Linked DNA regions of Coturnix japonica. The protein of the gene in region 2 interacts with the protein of the main gene of each other region in a pairwise test. Links are inferred from orthologs where the notes say so. Each region holds a gene or a part of one and is shown on either strand. Other genes may lie near its edges.

Region 1 (3,886 bases), on a different chromosome or scaffold from region 2:
CACCACCTATGAATTTTTAGAAACCTTTTTGGATGGGTACCTACAGCAGTTCATCAATTTGTGTGGGGACATTACACGCATGCACAAGTGATACAGTGGAAAACATAGCAGGAGCGACAGCAGGACAAAGGATGAAGGTGGAATCTGTGATGGATGCAATGAAAACAAGACCTTCCTCAGCTTTCTACAGCAAGTCTCTGCTCTGTTAGCGAGGCCTGCTGGGCAACAGTTTTGTTCTCATGGCTGCGGAGTTTTGATACGACTTCTAGGAACGCCATGTTCTGCACTTCCTTTTGGAGAGATTCTGGAAAAGAAATGGTAGGAGAAACAGTTCTTTGTATGAGATGTGCAAGAGAACAGCAAAGCATGGTGTGAAGCACTTAGGAAAGTGTCAGCACTACCCCGTGCCCATTGTATTTGTATAAGCCCACAAATGTAATCTTTTTATTTACTGTTTTGAATTGCTTTTAAGAATAGAGGAAATCTCTGAGGCTTTGAGCTTGCACAGACCCCCATATTTCAGGTAGAGATGAAGGATGAAGTTTCTGCATAGCAAACTATGCATAACAGTTACAAAAATCTACCTGGAATGCCTTCCAAAAAAGATGCTTAAGAATTTTTTTAATTGAATGTTTTTGTTTGATTCCTTAAACTATTTTGATGGAGTGAGCAAGTTCGCCTGAAGGGTTCACTGCATAGCTCGTCTGTATCAAATCAGCTCTGGCTGGTTGTGAGAGCGTGAAGAGGATATGTCACCACCTCATCACTGGTAGGTGGCCATTTTACAGTTCAGCTCTGTACTTGTCACAAGTACAGCACACCAGGTAATGTTATGTGTATATATACAGCATTTATGTTTGACTTGAAACTTTGAGGCCATTTCATGGTTCCTATCCTGGATAGCATTCTACTTGATGTCAGAAAGGAAAGGAAGGGAGCTTATTCAAAGCCCTATGCTCTAGACTTCCCACAGTTAAGAGCCAAAGCAGCTGGTTTTGTTTCATGTCCTGTTTAGTCCATTCTAGTGAACTCACTCAGCAACAAACACCTACATGTATTTTTTGCTTCCCAGGTGCTGCTGGGGGCTTAATCCCTGAGCTTCCCAGGAGGAATTCCAACCAGCTGTTTCAGATTAGCTATGCTATATATGCTATGCGTATTTACGGCTTTTCCTTACAACACTCTTGGGCATTTCTTTCTCTTCTTACTTTCTTGTTCACACGTTTTCACTGGGTTTTCTTTTTTTCTTGTAGTTATCCCTGTCTTTGTGTGTTGGGAGCTCTCATGCTGCTGTGCACCTGGGAACCAGTATATACTGAGCAGTGTCAGTGAAGCTGTTGGGTGCTTAGGCTGTGCAGGCACTTTCCATTCCCCTTTCTAAGATATCATCAAGCATAAGCAGTGTTACTGAACTGCCTTTGAGGAGCTTGCTGTGACTTGCTGCGTAAACAAAACTTAATACCAGAGTTGCTCAGTTGTTGCTCTTATATACTGGCTATTTTTACACGGGTCTATTCATGAGGAAGCAGGGCTGAACATTGGAGCAGCTCTGACTTCTTCACAGCTGTGCATTGCAATAATGTGCTGTCTGCTCCCTGGGAGAATGCCAAGATGCCTCATGTCTAGGCAAAGTTTACAGTGTGGTGGCAGAACAATCTCTGCCACTTGGATAACCCTGAAAAAACAAGGGAAGACTGCACCCTTATTCTGGTGGAATAGCGAGACAGTTGTTTGACTTTAAATAACACTGTCAGTCAATCTTGCAGGTGACGTGACTTGGAGAAATGAAAATGCAAGGGTCAGGCAAAACTTCTGAGGGTGACAGTTTTTGTTGTAAGTGCGCATAAGAACATCACAGTGAGTGAAAGAAATGTAGCCACTTCTTGAATCCTTAACTGAAGATCAAATGTGCTCCGTTCCCTGCATCAGCACTTCCAGCAGAGGCACATGTTGGAACACCTCCTGTTTATCACCACAAAGTCAGTTGTGCCTGGAGCATGCTTGGGCTGCCAAGGGAAGAACCCTTCCTAGCAAGGAGAGTGAGGATCCCTCCTAGGGCAGGACTACATCAACATGTTGTACTAAGTTCTCATTTGTATGTGTCTCTGCAAGTATTTCTTATCTTTTTAAACTTCCTGCAATTCTTGGAGGAATTTAAAGTCAAGAGGTACCTTGCAAACTTCTCTTCCACTTAATTTTACTTGTGTAAGTTGAAAAACAGCAAACCAGCCGTCATACATCAGTTACAGGGAACTTACAGCTAAAGGCGAAAATTAACTTGTTATCCATGTGCTTGCACAGAGAGCCCAATACTGTACAGTTTAAAATGTCTTTCATTTTTTTTTCCTGTTAAATTTCCAGGAGCTTCCTGCAGAAGCCAGAATCTGATTTCTGTAGTTAATATCCAAAACAGAATGAACAGCCTCTTTTTCTAGACCCTATAAAGTGTCACAGTAAACTGAGCCATTCTGCGAACACTCATAGTAAACGGAGAACTGGTCTCAGTGTATTTGCACATTTGCACGTGCCCTACGTTTAATCTACAGAAAGATTAATTATATAATTGTTTTGGGAAAGCAGTCCCTCTCAAGTACTCACCAGATCCTATAAGGGCACAGACCAGCACCATGGAGTTATATTTTATTTCTGGAGCACTCCTGTCATCTGATAGCAGTCTGTGTAGAATCTGAACAAGCTGAGCATTTTCAAGATCCTTTTCAGCAGTGACTGAAATACAAGTGAAAACTTGTGAAACTGGAATTGGTGCTTCATTGGATACTTTTGTGTTTCAGCCTTTTATGGAAACATGGATCTCTAACTGGTAATGAAACTGGTGCTGCAGTAGAACAGGTTGGATGGTTTGGTGATAGGAATCACAGCTCTCGCTATAAAAGTGCAAAATAGCCAAACTGCTTGAGAAGACAATCACTATGTTCAGTGATAAAATCTAATCTTAAATGTACAGTGAGCTGATGGAAAATGTGCCTGGCTTTCTACCTACTTAGGCTAGCACTTGCAACATTTAAGCATAGAAGACTTTGCCTGAATTTCCTTTTAGAAAATTTGCCTGAATTTAATATTGACAGGGGAAATCTTGACTCCACAGTAGGAAAACTCGAGGTCTATTGTTAACACTGTGAAAGGCTTTGCAAGATCAGAGTATGATTTTTTTTCCCCCTGAAGTTTTCTAGAAAATATACTGAATTCAGGCTTGAAACCTTTAGATGTCTGAAGGGTCAGAAAATTCACATAAATATCATTTCCTTTCAGTAAAAAAGAAATAATTGGCAGTGATTTGGAAGTTGAATGCAGCATTCTGCGGGTACACAATGACAAGAGATGAGATCAAAAACAAAAGTATGTGGTACTTGTTTAGTTCATTATACTAATTAATAAGCAAACAAACAGTACAAATTAAGCCCCCACTTAGAGGAGATTTAAGTTACTTGTTAGGAGGTAACTCTTTACTCAGAGGGCAGTGAGGCACTGGAACAGGCTGCCCAGAGAAGTTATGGATTCCACATCCCTGGAGATGTTCAAGGCAAAGTTGGATGGGATCTTGGGCAGTCTGATCTAGTGAGAGGCAGCCCTGACCATGGTGGGAGGAAGTGGAACTGGTTATTTTTGTTACCTTCCAACCTAAGCCATTCTATGAAGCTGAAGCATGTAATCATCTCTGTCTTCATATGGCAACTCTAGACATATTTTGGGGCCTCATCCACCTCTGTATGTATTCTGTAGCTCCTGCTGATTAGGTAAGTGAAAGCTTTTTTCAGATAAGTCCTCTCAAGAGGGGACTGACTGTTTCAGTGTACACAGGCCTCAGTCACAGTCTGTACTCCAAATTACAATTTTATTAACTGTTGGGTTTTATCTGAAATCTCCT
Region 2 (3,886 bases):
TGACTTCTGAGGATTTTCTCTCAGTGGAGAGAAAAGCATCTTAATAGAATCATCAACTCAATGGTCAGAGAAGGCATCAATCTTGTGGATTACTAATACAGTATCAACTCTTAACTGGTTCTTATTTAGTACAGATAGAAAGTCATTGGTTTAAACACTCTTTGATAAGTCCTGTGATCATTGCTTCCTTTACAGATGCTTTCTCTCTTTCAAGGTTTTCCATGACCATGGTCTTTTAGACAAACAAGACTCAAGTGTAAGAGAGGGTTCAGATATAGACCTGCTATCCCTTTCTGAGGTTCATCGTTGCCTTTAGCCTGGAAGGGTGTGTGAAAGTGAGGGTTCAAAAGGGCTGTGTATTGATTCAGATAACAACACTGCTGCAATCTGACTCTCGCAGTGTTGTTTTACCCTTCTGTGATCGTCCTCCTCCATTACAAAATTATAATAGCACTGTATGTCTGTCTACATTCAAAGGATGTGAAAATTAATAATTAATGTCTATGTTTCATGCATGGCCAAAGTTCAAAAAACCTTATTTTTCCTAGTATTGAAGTACCTTTATCACCCCCAGTGCATCTCTCTTGTTTTTCAGTTCTCTGTCATCCTTGTTTTTCCAGACAACTATGTGGTGACAGATCACGGCTCCTGTGTTCGCTCATGCAATACTGATACTTATGAAGTGGAAGAAAACGGTGTTCGGAAGTGTAAAAAATGTGATGGGCTATGCAGCAAAGGTATAAAAATCATGGTGTGAAACAGTAAGGCTTTAGTTGATTGATGATGTCATCAATGGAGTTATGAACTGAATTTAGCCCTCAAATTGCAAATTCAATACCCACATCCACTGCTAGTTTGAAGTTTTGACAGGCTGTTTTCTCAGGAAGTATGGTAGAAGAGCATGCTTCCGCAGGGATATGCTGCAAGTACACTTACACAGATAAACTGCACTTAATGTGTATCCTACACATCAGCCTCTTTTATTTATCCTTCTCGGTGTCTCATCAATGGGAATAAAATGAAAATGGGACCAAGAGAAGGGCATGTGTCAGAGTGTGTATGCAGAGATGCTAGGACCAGGACTGCACAGCTATGCAAGAGAGAAGTGTTTTTCTTTTGGTGATATCTGAAAAGCAGATTTATGAAACTGAACTTACAATGGTAGAATTGTCCAAGTGGAAATGCCTTTTTGAACATCAGGATTTTTGTACGTATTTCCTTATGTGTGATGATGCTTCTCTCTTCTCTACCAAACTTTTGTGTCCCTATTTTAACAGTGTGCAATGGCATTGGAATAGGTGAACTTAAAGGGATTCTATCTATAAATGCCACAAACATTGACTCCTTCAAAAACTGTACGAAGATCAATGGGGATGTCAGCATTCTTCCTGTTGCATTTCTAGGGTGAGTTTCCTGCTGGTCATTGAGAACTAGAAGAGAGGGTCTAGGGAGAAATTCAGGCTGATTCCTTCTTCTCTCAATACCTCTTTCTGTTTGTTTCAGGGATGCTTTCACAAAGACACTACCCCTTGACCCTAAGAAGCTGGATGTCTTCAGAACAGTCAAAGAAATATCAGGTCAGTGACGATGTTATCTGAGCAGTACTGCCAAAAAACTGCCAAAAACATAAAGCAAGAAGAAGTAAGTTCCCAAAGTCAGTGAGTGGAAGTGCAAGCAGATGGTTTCTGTCCTTGAGCTTCTGTGTCAATGCTCACACTGGCAGGTCAGCAGCACCTTGCCAGTGTTACACTCACCCTGCCTCCCATTCAAAGTGTGTGGTTTTTCCAGATCATCCTTCCTGATGAATTGTCAGCCCTACTGAAGACTAAAAGTAGAAGTAATTCTCAGCTACCCAATAAGTGCGGTGATTCAGAGGCATGCCACTCTGTATAAAAATAGCCAGTGTTTCTCTCTGTGGTAATCCGTTCTGCAGTTCCTTAAGGAACAATGCTCACTCTCTTGCATCATCCTCATGGAGACATGTGGAGACACCCTCCCCAACCCAAAGAGCCCTGCCTCGAGATTAGCACAAAGTGGCTGAGAGCAACAAAGTACGAGAGTGCTCTACTGAAATCTTGCAACTTGAAAGTAATTTTGTTCATCCAGTTATAAAACCAATGTAATGTCAGAGTCCATGACTCCAGGTCCACTTTATCTCCTTTGTCTGTCTTTTTGCCTTCAGGGTAGCAGTGACTAACCTCAGAGTTTCATACAGCAGTGTGCAATTTCCAAAATTCTTTCACTTCTACAGAGTATTTCACCTGAACAGAAAAATTTGCATGTCATAGCAAATGCACTCTGAGTTGCTGACAGTTCTGTGCCATTCCTGCTTTATGCCTACTTCTCTTATCAAAGGGCAGCTCACAAAGGGGACAGGACAGTGCCTCCTCATTGTGCAGGGGAGCCCACAGCCCCTCAAACAGGGTATTCTTGTATCAAGGCAGCTCAGCATGGCAGATGCACTGCCCCTGACACACTGTTCTCTGGTGCTCCTGATCCTTATGGTGGACTAAAAAGTAAACTGTTTACAAAACAGTGTTTACAAATATCCCTAAAATGTCATGTTTAATTTTGAGATTCTCAGAAAAGCATGTGGAAAGCACAAGTGCCTTCTCCTGGCACAAGAGAATCTCAAGAAGGACATTTCACCTCCAATACTGACTGTTTGCATTATTATTATTTTTATTTGATCTTCTTTTCTTCATTTCAGGATTTTTGTTGATTCAGGCCTGGCCTGATAATGCTACTGATCTCTATGCTTTTGAAAATCTGGAGATTATCCGAGGCCGAACCAAGCAGCAGTAAGTAAATGACATGCCAGGATCCTTGTAGAAGGAGATCTGTTGGGAACTGCATTTATCTGAGCACACCAGGGTGCCTAGCACTGGGATACATGGGTGTCACAAAATTCATGCAAAACAGGAAATAGCCTGAAAGGTGCTGAGCACCATTTTGGTAGCATTAGAGTAAGATTAAACCCAAAGCTCTGTACTGTTGTTAGAACCTCTATCCAGCACCCGCTTAAGCTTGCCTCAAGTGGAAGAATGACTTTGTGGACCAGCACAAAATAGTTTCTCTGCTTACTGCTATCCTTACACATTATTCATTTGGTGGAGCACATATGTTCTGCTGGATTTAGTTTAAAATTCCCATTAGAAAAAAATGGTTGCACAGCAATATGTACCAAAAGATAAATGCTCCAAGTACAACCCTGTTTACTAATTCTTTTTTTTTTTTTTTTTCCGTGTCTTCTTTTTGTCTGTATTCATTTCAGTGGCCAGTATTCCCTTGCTGTTGTTAACTTGAAAATACAGTCCTTGGGGCTGCGCTCCCTCAAAGAAATAAGTGATGGAGACATTGCCATTATGAAGAACAGGAACCTCTGCTATGCTGACACCATGAACTGGCGCAGCTTGTTTGCTACTCAGAGTCAGAAAACAAAAATTATACAGAACAGAAATAAAAACGACTGTAGTAAGTCAATCTGTTTTCCTGCCCTTGCAAAAGCTCATAATGAAATGGAAGAGTAATTTGATGCAAAATTGATCAACAATAGTGCTTTATTGAAGACAGTGAGGGAAAAGTGGAGTTGGTCCTCCAGGAGATGTGGGCTTCATGGTGATTGTACACCCTGTTATAGATATAGTGACAGACACAGAAGCCAGCTCTAGACATCAGGCTTGTTTTACAAAGTTAATCACTCAGCAATGGTCCCTGGACCAAAGTCTAATTATTTCTCTTTCCAGAATATGAATTTGCTACATACTGGGAATGTATCTCCTCTGGTATTGGTTTTGCTTTACTGTAAGTCTGGTACATGATCACAATGGATCTCATTTGAATTTTGAAAGGCCAGAATTTGCTCCAAAAACAAAGACAAGAAGTC

The links.
Region 1: the proteins of EGFR (region 2) and RAP1GDS1 interact in a protein complementation assay, tested with the Homo sapiens proteins (2 studies listed by BioGRID and IntAct). The link is inferred for Coturnix japonica from reciprocal best matches to the Homo sapiens genes EGFR and RAP1GDS1.

Annotation. Positions count from the first base shown.
Region 1 is NC_029519.1:53,764,098-53,767,983, reverse strand, and holds part of RAP1GDS1 (rap1 GTPase-GDP dissociation stimulator 1), read right to left. Parts: intron 2,728-3,886; coding exon 2,599-2,727; intron 305-2,598; coding exon 177-304; 3' UTR 1-176. UniProt on the Homo sapiens protein: Acts as a GEF (guanine nucleotide exchange factor) for the Rho family of small GTP-binding proteins (G proteins) that stimulates the dissociation of GDP to enable subsequent binding of GTP.
Region 2 is NC_029517.1:73,938,880-73,942,765, forward strand, and holds part of EGFR (epidermal growth factor receptor), read left to right. Parts: intron 1-620; coding exon 621-737; intron 738-1,277; coding exon 1,278-1,404; intron 1,405-1,503; coding exon 1,504-1,577; intron 1,578-2,710; coding exon 2,711-2,801; intron 2,802-3,274; coding exon 3,275-3,474; intron 3,475-3,886. UniProt on the Homo sapiens protein: Receptor tyrosine kinase binding ligands of the EGF family and activating several signaling cascades to convert extracellular cues into appropriate cellular responses.